2 linked regions of the Astyanax mexicanus genome follow. The protein of the gene in region 2 interacts with the protein of the main gene of each other region in a pairwise test. Links are inferred from orthologs where the notes say so. Each region holds a gene or a part of one and is shown on either strand. Other genes may lie near its edges.

What was found.
Region 1: the proteins of abtb1 (region 2) and eef1a2 interact in binary tests that used the Homo sapiens proteins (3 or more experiments, as listed by UniProt). The two-hybrid records come from large-scale screens. The link is inferred for Astyanax mexicanus from reciprocal best matches to the Homo sapiens genes ABTB1 and EEF1A2.

What each region holds. Positions count from the first base shown.
Region 1 is NC_064420.1:29,049,225-29,056,604, reverse strand, and holds the start of eef1a2 (elongation factor 1-alpha 2), read right to left. Parts: upstream 3,138-7,380; 5' UTR 2,877-3,137; intron 2,622-2,876; exon of another isoform or gene 2,617-2,621; 5' UTR 2,564-2,616; coding exon 2,420-2,563; intron 965-2,419; coding exon 785-964; intron 1-784. Other genes in the region: MRG/MORF4L-binding protein, read right to left, coding at 6,551-6,753. UniProt on the Homo sapiens protein: Translation elongation factor that catalyzes the GTP-dependent binding of aminoacyl-tRNA (aa-tRNA) to the A-site of ribosomes during the elongation phase of protein synthesis.
Region 2 is NC_064419.1:3,833,375-3,841,603, reverse strand, and holds the start of abtb1 (ankyrin repeat and BTB/POZ domain-containing protein 1), read right to left. Parts: upstream 3,224-8,229; 5' UTR 3,012-3,223; coding exon 2,956-3,011; intron 1,017-2,955; coding exon 954-1,016; intron 855-953; coding exon 799-854; intron 1-798. Other genes in the region: si:dkey-222n6.2 (keratin, type II cytoskeletal cochleal), read left to right, coding at 5,975-6,259, 7,116-7,324. UniProt on the Homo sapiens protein: May act as a mediator of the PTEN growth-suppressive signaling pathway. May play a role in developmental processes.

The sequences.
Region 1 (7,380 bases), on a different chromosome or scaffold from region 2:
TAATTGCAATAAAATTCTGGGAGAAATACTTAATTTTGCCAGTCACTTTCATGACTATATGATGTGGATGCAGTGCATCCCATGATAAAAACAAGTACTTGTGCCTTGACACAGGACCATAAATTGAAAAGCATCTTAGGAGTACACAATTTATCACAATGCTCTGAACACAGAAACAGCTAACTAGCGCTTAGCGTGGTTAGCAAGTAATGCTAATGTTGCTCTGGCAGTTCTAGCCGGGGTTAGCAGCAGGCTACGGTCCGAAATACTTACCTCTAAAACACGAAAGAGCTAATTAGCGCTTAGCTCAGTTAGTGGGTAATGTTAATGCTATCTGGAGCAGGCTACAGGCTGATAATACTACCTCTGAAAGGCGATAGAGCTAGTGCTTAGCACAGTTAGCAGGTAATGCTAATGCTGCTCCAGCAGTGAATTTGCAATGAGATTGCAAGTTCAATCCTTGGTCATACCACAACCATCCAGCCAAGAGAGTCCAAAAAAGAAAAATTGGCTTTGCTGTCTCTCCATCCATCATTCAGCTAAACGCAAGTGCAGGCATCTGTTAGCTGACATTACAGAACAGCTGTTAGTGTTCTCCTGCAAGTAAGTTCAGCTGCTAAATGACTGCAGACAGCAGATTAAATACAGCTTTATTTACAGTATATATCTGCAGAACTGGAGACAAAGGGGCCTTTCAGCAGACACTGACCTATAACACTAATATGTCCAAGGCCTGATGTTTCAGCCTTTGCCTGGAAAATATCGATATGTGATGCAGCTTTACCTGGGAAGTCCCTGTGATCATGTTCTTGATAAAATCTCTGTGACCTGGAGCATCTATGATGGTAATGTAGTATTTAGAAGTCTCAAATTTCCAGAGAGAGATGTCTATGGTGATGCCTCTCTCTCGCTCTGCCTTTAGCTTGTCCAATACCCAGGCATACTTAAAGGATCCTTTCCCCATCTGGACAGCAGACAAAAAATTGGAAAGTTTAAATTCAATAAGCATTTCTATTATATTATGAAAATCCTATGATAAAAGGTTTTTGTGCAACAGTGACAAGAAGAGAAAGTTTAAAGAAACAAATATCATTCTACAGTAGTAAACATTTGTTTAGCATATCTGTATTAATGTAATGCTGAGCATCATCCGTCATTTTAAAAGCTTTATATGTTTGAGATTTCCATTTTAACATTAATTTTAGTTTTTTTTTTTTATATCATATATTCAACTTGATCAAGGAAAAATGTTAAATTCTAATGGCTGTACTTGTGATTTTATCATTCAGCCAAAATCGTCATTGAACTTCTATACATTTTAGGTTTGTTTTTTTGTTGTTGTTTTTTTAATAGATGAACAGATTTTACCAGTATGAACTCGTCTGGTTTCTCAAAAAAAATCCTGAAGAATTTGATCCCTGATTAATCCAGAATTAGGTTTAATTCTCCTCTGGAAAACTAATTCTAACATCCTAATAATGTACTAATGAATACACAATCAAATAATAAGTTTTTTTTTTCCATTTTGACTACTTTCAAGAACCTTTTACATATGAAGAACTTTGTGATAAATACCCTTTTTTGATCTAATCAATACAAATAATTTACCATAGAAATGATTTTATTTACAGCTACAAAAACACTCCAGATTATCAATTTCTGATTGATTAAAAAAACAGTGTTTTAACAAAATGTTGATAAAAGGACATTTAGAAAGCAATATAATTTCAAATAAATCAAAACATGGTCAAATTAATACATATCTAAATTCTGAAATGTACATGTCTAATTAAGAGTATTTGAGTATCCTATGAACTATATGGGATGTAAATAATATAATCTTGTGTATGTATGACTGTCTTCTATAAACGAATAAATGCATAAAGGTATGACATACTATTAAAACACCCCACAAAACAAGGATTTAAACTTTTTAAGTTTTTAAGTCAGTTTTACGACACTCTGTCTGCCTGAAAATCCAATCATATATATTATAACTGACTTCTTTTTATTAGTAATGGCATTCTTTGGATATTTTGTATATATTTTGTTTTGCTCTTGCCTGTACAGAAACATGTTAACTGAAACATGTAATAGATCATCCTATAAATCATTTTTTACAGGTAGACACTCAGAAACTTTTTAAAGCACAAATTGCATGCCAAACCAGGGAGTGGTCTGGAGTTAAATAATACAGACTATATACACAGTGTTCCTATGTATCACAAACCAGCACAAACATGCCCATGAAAACACTGGTTGACTATTTTTTTTCAAACCAGGAATGCCAGTTCAAATACACAACCTATTGTTTTCTTTCTATATTCATTACTTTCAGTTTTCATCTCCAAGCCTGAAAACTTAGTAGGGCTACCACAGTAAACATAGAAGCTTCTGGAAAGTTAATATCTGTCTGTACCTCTGCAGCCTCCTTCTCAAATTTCTCGATGGTTCTCTTGTCAATGCCTCCACACTTATAGATGAGGTGACCGGTGGTGGTGGACTTCCCAGAGTCCACATGGCCAATCACAACAATATTAATGTGGATCTTTTCCTTCCCCATGATGAACAGAACACAGAGGGAAAGAAGAGAGAATGTTCCCACCCAGGGTTCCCCTGCTCTTCACAGACAGAATAAACAGCATTGCAGATTCATTATAAAACAAGATTAAAGCAGATTAATAAACTGTATCTAAACGTTTACATAAAGGAAATGTGATAAATGAATAGATATTAAAAAAAATATAGAAGAAGAAAAAAAATAAACAAACAAACACTCAGAGAAAGGCCGGAGAAACTACCTATAATGAATTCTGACTGCAGTGTAAACAGAAGCATAAACATAAACAGACAGATAGATGTCTTTGGGGTCTTACCTGCTGTAGCTGTGTGTTCAGGCAGCACAGCGTGTTCCCTCTGAACACCCTCTTTCTTCCTTAGCACTCCAACACAGGGGGGGTGGCAGGCTCTAAATCTGTCTGCGTAGTGAACGCACCCCACTTTGATACAGCAATGCGGCACTTTATGTGGGGAGGGAGGAGGGTAGGAGGGGGAGACAGAAGAGAGAGAGAGACAGAGGGAGACGAGAGAGATGCTGAAGCAGGGGATCTGCAAAGGCAGCAAGAGAAACCAAACAGAGAGGTGGGTGGGGGATGTATGCTGGGATGAAAGTTAGGAGAAAGGGAAGAAAAGGATGGGAGAAAACTCCAGCATCACACTGCAAGCCTGAGTGACTCAGCACATTCCTAAAGATTCCCTTGAGATTTAGAACATGTGTAATCATAATCATCAGGACTAAATCATAATACTGTGAGTTCCTCACATCTGTGGAAATCTGGCTGACACAATAGAATAGAATTAAGCATTTCAAGTTTTTATATATAAATACAGAGCGCTGGAAAAAGCAAAAGAGCACTACGTGTCTGAATCAATCAGTTACAAATACAAATATTGTCATTTAGAGCATTCATTTGCAAAAAATGAGAAATGGCTGAAATAACATAAAAAGGTGCAGAGCTTTCAGTCCTCAAACAATGCAAAGAAAACAAGTTCACATTCATAAAGTTTTAAGAGTTCAGAAATCAATATTTGGTGGAATAACCCTTGATTTTAATCACAGTTTGCATGCATCTTGCAATGTTCTCCTCCACCAGTCTTACACACTGCTTTTGGATAACTTTCTGCCACTCCTAGTCCAAAAACTCAGACAGATCATCCGTCTTCCGCTTGATTATATTCCAGAGGTTTTTAATTTGGTAAAATCAACTCATCATTTTTACGTGGTCTCTTATTTTTTTCCTGAGCTGTATACACAGTCCAAGTAGAATATTATGACATTGTTTCTACGATCTTTGTCAGTCTTGTCAGCTGAAGTCTGCTGTTTACTACAGCCCATTTGTTTCTCTGCATTCAGTGTTATACTTCTTTCACCCTGGTGGGTCATCCTTCAGGCAGCTTTGCAGTGTTGTGCTGCAGGCATGAGTGGATCGGACACAGCAGTGCTGCTGGAGTTTTTAAACTCTTCACTTCTGGAATGAAATTAGTCCACCAACCGGAAACAGTAGCTGGGTAGCGATATCCAATAGAGTGGACAGTAAAAAAAAGCAGCACTGCAGTGTCTAATCCAACATATACTACATTAGAACAACATACACCAGCACACCACAGATGTTGGTGTAGAACCGGCACTGACAGGAAGGTCAATTTATAGTACAGACAGATAATGCCTCAACACACAGTGCAGTCATTCTTTTAAGTTGATCAAGTTTATTAAATTAAAGACAGAAAGATCCACCCAAAAGGCAACAGAAAGGCCTGGTAAAGCATCTTAGGGAGGCAACTCAGTATTTGGAACAATTTGGGCCAATTTATGAATGAATTAATGAGTCAGCGACTTGGGGAATAAGCCTAGTTTTAGAACATTGTGTTTACGAAAGAAAATCTCCATTCAAAATGGAATATACAAAAGGTTATGCAGCTTAATCCCTGTTGGGGCAACCCGCCCAGAAATGTCAAACACTCAAAACTTTGCAGGTCCTTTGAAGGTCTTCATGTCACCTTAATTTTTAGAGCAATAGGGTTGTAATGGTATGTGTCTTGGTACCAAACCACCATGCAATGGGGGTGCACAAGCCAAACGTCAACATAAAGATGCAATGCATGGGATTATGGGAACTGTAGTGGATTTAGGAGCATTGCTATTGTAACTGTATTTTTCTATACACTTGCTGTGTGCACAGAAGGATTTATTTGGTATTTTAACCTGCTTATTCCTCACCTTTCTCTGCGACATTCTGACCTTTTACCATCTAATTTGACATTATGATGGATCAGCCAAGGAGGAAGTAATTGTGATGCTGGACAGTGTGTGTGTGTGTGTGTGGAAAGACATTAAACATCCTTAATCCATTTTTTACTGCTAAATTAATACAGTACAGGCTGACAGACTGACTACCTCAAGCCAGACTATATAGCACTAGGCAGAACTAACTTCATAAGAACTAACATGATAAGAAACTAGAAACCTAGACTATATTTTATTTTTTTCTTTGTACTGAGCTTGTACGGAACAATGAGGTCCAACCTGTGGTACAAACTAAACCATGGTACAAACTAATCCATGAATTTTGTGTACCATTACACAAGCATACTGTAGACAGTGAGTGCGTTTACATGCACTTTATAATTCAATTATTATGATCAGTGTTTACATAAAGTTACTGTTAACAGTTACTGTAACAGATACTGTTAAAATTCATTAGTTTAAAAAAAGTAAAGCCATAATTAGATTTTTGCTTTGCAATCAACTCAAATTTACAAAATAACAGGTGATAAACATCATGTAAATCTTTATCATAAAAACATACAATAGATAGAAGATTAAGAATATTGAAATCTGTTTGGGTTCAGCATTGCGCAAATGTGTTTTGTCGTCATCTCACTGGAGATGTTTTAAAGCTGCTGGCTTATTTCTGGTACCACAAGTTTACATGCACTGAAAAATACAATTGCTGAGCAAAAATCCAGCTCTCTTTAACAGATGATAGCATCAGACTCAGACTCTAAGACCTCAGTTCTAAGAAATTAAAGTATACTGTTTATATGACTACTTCAATAATTCGATTTTAACTTCAGTAACCTATTATTGAACATGCATGTAAAAACACTCAGTGTCTTTAGGTTACAGATCAGTGAATCGCCTGGATCTGCACCAGCACCCATCAAAAAGCCTCTGCACCCATATCTTTCTTCCAAAACACAACATAACTCACGCTGATACTTAAGTACAGTCTGATTTAATAAAAGGCTTTGCACCTTTTAAAACAAGAGCAGTAAATAAATACAGTAAAACATTATGGTTGTAAAATCACATTTCACCTTAACATGTAATGTAACATCTTTATTACCAATGAATTTGACTTTTGAATTTGAACCGTCACAGATGGGAAAATAAAAATACTAGCTTTACTGTATGACGGACATAAATGACCACTAGGTATGATTCCTCAAACAGAGGCTGCATTTCTTTATGTACTAAGAATTCATCCCTATCTGACCAATGATGATGATACCATCATAGACCCTGTATTTAACTGTTTCCAACAAAGCAATTCTTCCCCACATCTTCGTACTGCAGCAGTTCAATCAAAAGACATTTTCAGGTAAGTCTCAATGAGTCCAACAACAAACTACGTTAAAAAAAAATATAATAAAAAATAAAAAAAAGAATCAATTATCGTCTGCCTCTAACCTTCCATATGAGCAACATCATGGAAGCAAGTTCCCACTGCTCATCAATTACTTAAACTTTTTTTTCTAGATTTCTTCTAGAAAACGCTCAACACATGTGAAGTACTAGAGCTTCCTCTCATCAGTGTGAGCTTCAGCTCTAAGCTTAAATGCTGGAACATCTAACAATATCTCCTCAGATCTTTCCTCTTTAACCTTAGCTGAGCAGCAGATCAGGCCAGAGTACACCGTTTCTTCCAGTCTCATCCAGCCAGAGTCTCCATGTGCCACCAGTCTGCAGGTCGCCCGTTGTTGGCCGTGTTTACGTCCTGCGGCGCTTGGTTCCTCCAGGACTGGACGGGTTGCCGGAGCTCTGCGTTTTGTCCGTGGCCCGGCTCCTCTTCCTTTTCTCGCCTGTGGCCTCCTTCGATCCTCCACCCGACTCACCCGAGGCCCCCCTCTCCCTGTCTCTCTCTTTCTCTCGCCCGCTGCCCGAGCGCTCTGTCTTTACTGAGGAATTGCTGCCTGATAAATCAGAAACGGAGAGGGACAAAAAGAAGGAGAGGGAGAAAGAAAGACAGTGACATTTTAGATACGTTTTGAATTTAAGGGAAATAATGTACATTTTACTTAGAAAGAATACTCCACCAGAACATTTTGATTTGTGAAAGACTCCTCCAACCACGTAGGGTTGGGTGATATGGTAAGAATACTGTATCATGATATTTAAAAACAGTTTCACGATACATGGGATTCATCACAATATTTTGACACAAACTAATTGTGTCACTAGCAGCAGATTCTTAAAACCTCTTAAACTTTTAAAAACTGTTACAGAGTTATACAGTTTTAGCACTGCCAATTTCCACAATATGCTATATAATTATTTAGTGTATTACAAATCTAAAGAGGTTAAATTCACGATTTATCATTACTTTGGTGGAATATGCTTTTAAGTTTAATTTCTTTTCCAAATTCATAAATACACAGGCCTACACAAGCAATATGAAGCTGCTCATCCTTTTCTTCACATTAGACACGTAGGAGAAAACTGAACAACAGGCATTTACTTCCCAAGCTTTAAGATGATTACAGATTGTTGCAATAACCTGGCATATAACAAAATAAGAAAAGATCAATTTCTGGTCCAAA
Region 2 (8,229 bases):
ATTTCAGTAATTCGGTTGAAATATGAAACTCTTCTTTTATTGTTGATGATTATGGCTTACAGTCAATGAAAACCCAAAAATCAGCGTCTCAGAAAATTAGAATATTATGTAAGACCAATTAGTACTTTTAGCAGTGTGGGCAGTGTGCCAAGTCCTGCTGGAAAATGAAATCCACATCTCTATAAAAGTTGTCAGTAGCAGAGGGAAGCTGTAAGATATGAAGTGCTGTTGTAAGATTTTGTGGGAAAACAAAACTGCACTGACTTTAGACTTGATAATAAAACACAGTGGATCAACACCAGCAGATGACAGACATGTCTCTTTATCCAAACCATCACTGATTGGTGGAAACTTCACACTAGACCTCAAGCAGCTTGAACTGTTTGTCTCTCCACTCTTCCTCCAGATTTTTTACTGATTTTACTGATGGTCAGTGACGGTTTGGTGAGCCATCTCATCTGCTAGTGAATAATAATACAGGTTGCTGTCCCAGGACTTTTGGCACATGAATATACTTCAATTCTCTACTATAAAATTCCAGCAACTGATGAAATAGACAGTGTTTTTCAGTAATAACACACTTTAGATTTTTGAATGTATAATTACAAAAGAGAATACATTAATAGCCACTATTAATGATAAACATTTCAAAATTAAAATTAGTAAACAAATAGAACTAAAAACATTTATTTACATGAATCACCAAAAACACACATTTTATACTTTGTAACTCTACAACAGTCTAACTACAAACTACAAATATAAAAACAGCACAATTACAGTGTAATGGATATTTACCGTTGGCCAGTAGATACTGCACCAACTCCTCGTGTCCGCAGAGGCACGCATAGTACCTTCATTCACACCAAGACACAAGGCACATTCAGCTGAGTCCACAGCAGCTACACGGAAATCAAAATACATTTAATACAGAGGAATCAATTCTGACTCACAGAGGTGTACTGTCCCATTTATCTCTCACGTTCAATTCCACATCTCTCTGTTCAACCAGGTATCTGAGCAAGAAAGAGAGAGAAAAAGAACGAGAGAGAACATTAATTAGGCAATAAATAAATATATATATTATATAATATAATTATATATATATATATATATATATATATATATATATATTACAAGAAATACATCACTGTTATGAAAAAAAAAACAACGCAAATTTCACAGTAGATAAAAAATCCTAATTCACTTTCAATGAAAGTCAAAGCACAAGTTAAGTCACAAATTATATTCCAAGTCATTTTTAAATATTTCTATTGGTCCATTCATCATGAAATTTTGATACAATATTTAACTATAAATATATAACCACAAAAATGGAGATACAACGTTTATACAACGTAAATGAGATATATTTTTTTATATTTATATTAGGAATTAATATTAATAACATAAACAAAAAATTAAATGACATAATAATGTTTTAAAGGGATCATGTTCACCACATTTTACTGCACTGTACTATTTACCCTAATATCCAATTAAAACAATGGTGAAAATTTAATAATCATCATCATAACTTTAACAATGTTTACCATAGGGGTTTCAGAAAAAGTGTGTTATATATAATATAATGTTTTGCAATATTTAACAATCTGAACGAAAAAATTATTGATCTTTTTGTGTTTCAATCCCAACCATTAGAAAGCAGTGGTATACAGTATCCCATTCTTTTGATAGGATATGCAGATTTTACACACATAATATTGATGTTTTTCCTACATAACAGTTTAAATAATTATTTATTTAAAAAATTGCCAGTATCGTATTGCTAACAGTATCACAGTCTGCATCTGAGTCTAGTATTGTTTATAGTTCTCATAATATAAAACCCCTGGTTTGATAAATCAGTGTATAATGATGTTAAATTAGATTAGCTGCTGATGGAATTGAACACATCCAATGCTTCATATGCTTCACATATGCATCTGTCAGAAACTTGTAAAACACTCTTTTATGTGACAGTGATTTTCATACTTTAAACTTTTCCTTAACTGAAGTACATAAAGGTTATGTTTGCACTGCGTTTAATATAAAAACTGCATGTAAGGTTAAAGGGGGCTGCTTACTATTTTTTTATTAAATGTAAAGGAAAAACAGCTTGCGCATCACTTTAAATTGTGCTGTTTGTTTTCAAAAAAAAAAAAAAGTTAAGAATTAGTAGTAATGTATTATCACACTTATGATGCACGTTTATGCAAGTTTCAAAAATCAATAACAACTCTGGAAACATAACGAGACCACTTCAGTTCCTGAATTAGCTTCTCTGATTTTATTCTATAAACTATGGACAACTTTTTTCCAAAATTTCAAAGAAAAATATTGTCAGTTAGAGCATTTATTTGCAGAAAATAAGAAATGTCTAAAAAAAAAAGATGCAGAGCTTTCAGACCTTAAATAATGCAAAGACAACAAGTTTATATTCATAAAGTTTTAGGATATCAGAAATCAATATTTGGTGGAATAACCCTGGTGGTTTATAATCACAGTTTTTTTTTCATGCATCTTGGGATCATGTTCTCCTCCATCAGTCTTACACACTGCTTTTGGATAACTTTATGCTGCTTTACTCATGTTGCACAAATTCAAGCAGTTAATCTTGGTTTGATGCCTTGTGATCATCCATCTTCCTCTTGATTATATTCCAAAGGTTTTTTATTTGATTAAAAAAAAAAAGAAACTTTAGCTACCTAACGTTACTTACTTTTAAAGGGTTAAGTTTGTTTACTAACGGAGTGTACAGTATGTGCTACTCTGCACCATAATTAACTCCCTGAACTAACCTCCTGAACATGTATTAACACTGTTACCAGTTTATATAATGCCCTCACTAAAATAACAACTACAATACCAGAGTCAGGGATGATAAAAATACTGATATATATCTATATATTTAGTTTAAATAGCGGCTGCAGAAGTTTAGCCCGGAGTACAGACCTCACTCTCGCAACGTCGCCCTTCCTGCAGCTCGAAAACAGATCGTTTGCGTCCATAGCGGCGATAAAGCGGCTCTGAAAGGCATTGAACCGGCCTGCCTGGAGGACGGGGCGGAGAGCAGGCGCTGGGCGGCGGGTTAGTGAAGAAAACTCGGCTGGGTCGCGGCTCTGGAGGCCCTGCTGCTCGCTGTCACTGCGCTCCGCTGTTTTGACGAAATTTCTCTCAGACGTAAACAACAGTCCTCCGCCACCATAGAGTTTCCCCACAGGCTGAGACCCTCTGCCGCCCCCTCCGGAGGAAGGTGGTACTGCAGGTCTGCGCCCAGTAAGTTAATATAAAAAAAAGTTAATTGATTTTTCCCCTAATATTCCTTAAAATTGTTCTAGGAAATAACCCTTTAAATCTTCTTTTAAAAATTGAACTTTACTAAGTACTCCCTTAAGTGTTACATAAAGTCGCTTACCAGTCTATTCCGTTAGAAGCCGCAAAAAATAATGAGATTTAATAATGAGAATAATGAGATTTTAAACTTATATTTATAGATTCATTAGGCAGTACACGTTAGTTGAATTAAGGCGATTTATTTTTTATTTACTTTTTAAAAAGTAATACTTTCAACGCTTCTCTCTAAATTAGCATAAATATCGCTACAAAATCTAGCAACAAAACCTCTAAATTTGCATAAAAGATGCTAAATCTAGTGACGAATTTTATATAAAATATATTAAAATATATATTAAAAAACCCAAACCTCCCCTTAACTCCCGAAAACCTTTTTATATTAATAAAAAAAATTAAACCTATATTAATTCAATAATTAGGCAGGATTGCAAAAGTATGACAAACTTACGTGTTTATACACGTAACATATACACATCAGTTAATATAATTTTTATTCACTTTTTCAAAATAATACTTTAAATGCTTCTCACTCAATCTACCAACAAATAGTTGCTAAATCTAGTGACAAAATCTTTAAACTAGCAAAAAAGTTAGCTAAATTCCTAGTGACACAATTTCTAAATTAGCAGAGAAGTAGCATATTGATGTTATTTATTACAGGGTGGACGCAAGAAATAAAAAGTAAAAAATTAAAAAAAATAAAAATAAGTAAAAAATAAAGGTGATTAAGTTTAAAAAGAGGATTTTTTTTTGTTTTGAAGCCCAATTAGCACAGTTTTTTTGTTTTTCTCATACTGTTTGAGTAAAATATTATTAAGACTGTCTGAATAAAACTAACCCCTTTTCTGACTTGTAGTAAAAGACACTTGCAGTTCTCTTAAGTGACCAGCAGGGAGCGTACAATCATCAATCATATCCTAATACAGCATGAAGCGCACTGGGCCTCTTGATCAAATCATGTCAAGTAGTTTTATTGTCAATACTGCGTGATATTGTGTTATAATAAAGAGATAATAGACTTAATACAGAAAAATAAAAATATATTCGCAGGGCGAGGGGAAGATTGCTGTATTTCTTTCTTAAAATATGTTTCATGATCTAATTTCAGAGCTAAAAACCAATAACTTTGTACCGTCATGTTTAGAGGTGGTGGGACTGGGACCTGGTTTAGGGGTGCTTGTGCCCCTCTAAAAAAGAGCTAGCAACTATTGTTCAGCACCTCCAGGAACTCCTTCAAGAAAACCATTCCAGGTGATTCTATCTCAAAAAGACACTGAGATTAAAATATATTAAAAAGAGTGTGTAAATCTGTCACCAAGGCTAAATGTATAAGACATATTCTGGTTTAAAACAATACTTCAATACTAGCTTTAATATAGTCTTCAATATTAAAATCACAAAGAAAAAAATACAAAACACATTGAATGAGAAGAGGTGTGTCCAAACTTTTGACTGGTATTGTAGGTGAAGTTTTTGGCACAACAGGAGAAGATCAGAGCGTGCAGGTGGCTCAGAGGTGGTTGGACAGGTCTGGACAGCAAATTAGCAGAAACATCTGACCTGACAGATTTCTCGAAACTGACAGCAGCTTTAAAGAACCATTAAACTTTAAACAATATGTTTTTGGTTAATGGACAAAATGTGTTCATTTGTTCAATGTGTTCATTCCAGTCCTGCTTACAAATTTTTATTTCCTAACTTTTCCTAACCTAAACTATAAAAACTATAAAACTTTTATTGTGATCATTTCTGCCTCTGCAGCGCCCCCTCAGGTTCAACTGTGCTATTATAGGCGAGAATGATGTGTCCGTATACTTTGGTACGCGCACACATCACAATAGGCAGATTATTTAATCAATCAATAGTACTGCCCCCCCTGTTGATGCCCAACCAAACACAGAGCCAATCAGCTCTCCCTCCTGAGAGCTGCCTCGCCTCGCCCACTGGGTGATGTATGGGTTTAGAGACGAGGGTGATGTATGGGTTTAGAGGCGAGGCAGGAGGGACCCTCCCAAACTATTCCTCCCCTTTTTTTTTGCCTTTTTTAAATTTGAGCTGAGGGTGGGAGTGTTGGGGTTGCGGTTATCAGTTCAAACTTTATTGGAAATCCTGGAAATCTATTAGAGAAAACAGACAGGAAGCTAAATATTTAATATGAGTACTCTAAGTATATTAGGCAGGTTCTTCGAATAGCAGACGGCAGCATCAGTAGATCATCAGATACCTGTGAACCAAAACATGCCAGCTCACAACACTGGTACAGAACTCTGACATCAGCAGTCTCTACTACTGAGATTACATCAGGACTGGAAGAGTTCCCAGACACACAGTGTGTGGGTGTGGGTGTGTGTGTGTTCATGTGTGTAAGCATGCATCCCTGATGAATACATGAATGTACAGTATGTGTGTGAGCTGAGCTCTGCTATCAGTTGTTAAACTTGTTTTTCCATCTGAAGAATGTGCATACCTCCAAACACACACACACACACAAAAACACACACACACACACACCCCGGCTAAGTATATATATGTTGTCAGTCCAGGACTCCACACACCTCCAATTATCACACTCCACCATACTCTACAGTCCTCAACAGTCTTCCTCAGCTCTGCAGTCATGAGTAGTCGGGTCAGCAGCAGCAGGTCCAGTGTGCGGAGCTTCAGCAGCAGTTCTCTGGGCTCGTATCCCCGGGCTGGAGCGACCATTCCCCGCACTGGAACCTCATATTTTGGCTTTGGGGATGCTCCAGCGCAGAGCCTGCCTGTTAGGGCCGTAACTGTGGACAGGAACCTGCTGACCCCCATGCAGCTGGACCTGGACCCTGACCTGCATGCGGTCAGACTGCAGGAGAAGGAGCAGATCAAAACACTCAACAACCAGTTCGCCTCCTACATCGACAAGGTGAGAGAGCTAGCCAAGTGTGTTTTACCCTGTATACTTAAAAGACTATTAAGGATTATATTTTTATAGTGATTCATAACATGATCAGAATGTAGATCAGGATGTATCATCAGAAATTAAGGAAACATGCTGAGTTTAAGCACCAACAGCTTATGTCAGCAGAGTTTCAGCCAGTATTTTAGTACTATATACTGTTTAGTATGGGTTGTAGACTTTTTTCTGCTGAACAGATCAGTAATCAGTAATCAATTTTCAAGACGTTCTCCATCAAACCTGGCTAAGCTTGAGCTGTTTTATAAAGAAGAATGGGCAAAAATCTCTAGTCTCTAGATGCGCAAAACTGGTAGAGACAAACCCCAAAGCACTTACTGTTATAATTGCAGCGAATGGTGGCTCTAGTAAATATTGATATAGGACTTTTAGGATGTGCTACTAATGTCTTGTCTTGATACTACAGGACACATTTAAAGGTCTTGTAAAATCCAACTTAGTGGATGAGAGGGATCTACACAATATGGTGGTTTTAATGTTATGGCTGATTTAAGTAAGTAACTAACAGACGATATTGCAATGTCTTCTCATTTTAACTATAGATGGTTGCTTTAATGTATTTTATTTAGTTATTGCTGGTCATGGATGGAGGGAAATTAAAATTTTATTTAAACAGCTCGTTTTCAGCTTATTTATGTTATAAATGACCTGTAACTGACATTATTTTAACTTTTAATGATTAATAACAAAAGCATCCTCACCAAGGTGTCTCTAATCATCACATCAGAGAAAAAAAAGGTCAACCAGGAGCTTCACACTATCTGTTAACATCTCTCATCTTTTATCATATCTCTCTTTCTCTCAGGTGCGCCACCTGGAGCAGCAGAATAAGTTATTGGAGACAAAGTGGAAGTTGCTGAATGGTGAGACGCGCAAGGACTCCAGGTTGGAGCCCATGATGAAGAATTATATCAGCACCCTGCAGGCCCAGCTGGACACCCTTAACAGAGACAAGGATCGGCTGGACGCTGAACTCCACAGCACCCACCAGCTGGTGGAGGACAACCAAAACAGGTTAGGCCCCCCTTAACAATCTATAGTGTGATTAAAAAGTCCATTTACATGTCCAAGTACTGGATAGTATTGCTAACACAGTTAATACAGTAGCAAAGGGTCATACACAGGAAATCCAAAAGATAAAGGTAATTCAATACCCAGCGAGGAGCTACTAAAAAAAACAAAGGGTTTATACACTAAAAGAACTAGGTGTGGGCAATCAGAAGCTCAGAGAGCTCGAGCCCTGTAGTGTCACATGATCAGCAGGGTCCTAAAAGGTCCAGTGTGATTGCATGCTGGGAAAAATGACAGTTTTTATCAGATAATTTGTGTTGCTCTATCACTTAAAATCTCAATAAAATAAATTTAAGTTTGTGGTTGTAAGGTGACAAAATATGAAAAGTTTCAAGAGTCAAAATAAAGCACAATATCATAATGTCAGTCAGTTATTACAAAAGTTATATATATATATAACTTATATATAACAAAAGTGACCCTATATAATCCTTTCATTGTCTATCCTCTCATGCAGTTGATAATGTGCCATAACATTATTGTATGATAATATAGATGCATGCATGGCAGGAAATAAAACATGAAAACATAAAAAAACTGAAAAAGTAAAAAATATAATTTCTGTGTTGTCTGAGGTCATATAAATATGATTCAAAACAATAAACCGTTTTCACAGAGCACTCACGTTTTTATTTAGCCTTCACTTAGCAGCACAGCTAACATGTCAGAATAGCCTCCAGCATTGATAAAAGGATGCTTTCACATCAACAAGTATGGAAGTGTGACAATGGTCAATTAAAAATCAAAACTAAAAAATATTAAAGTATTTTGATTATTTTAGGTCCCTCTGTCATTAACTGAGTGCAATTTCAGCTGCTTTAGGTTGCACCACTTGCTGATCAGTGTAA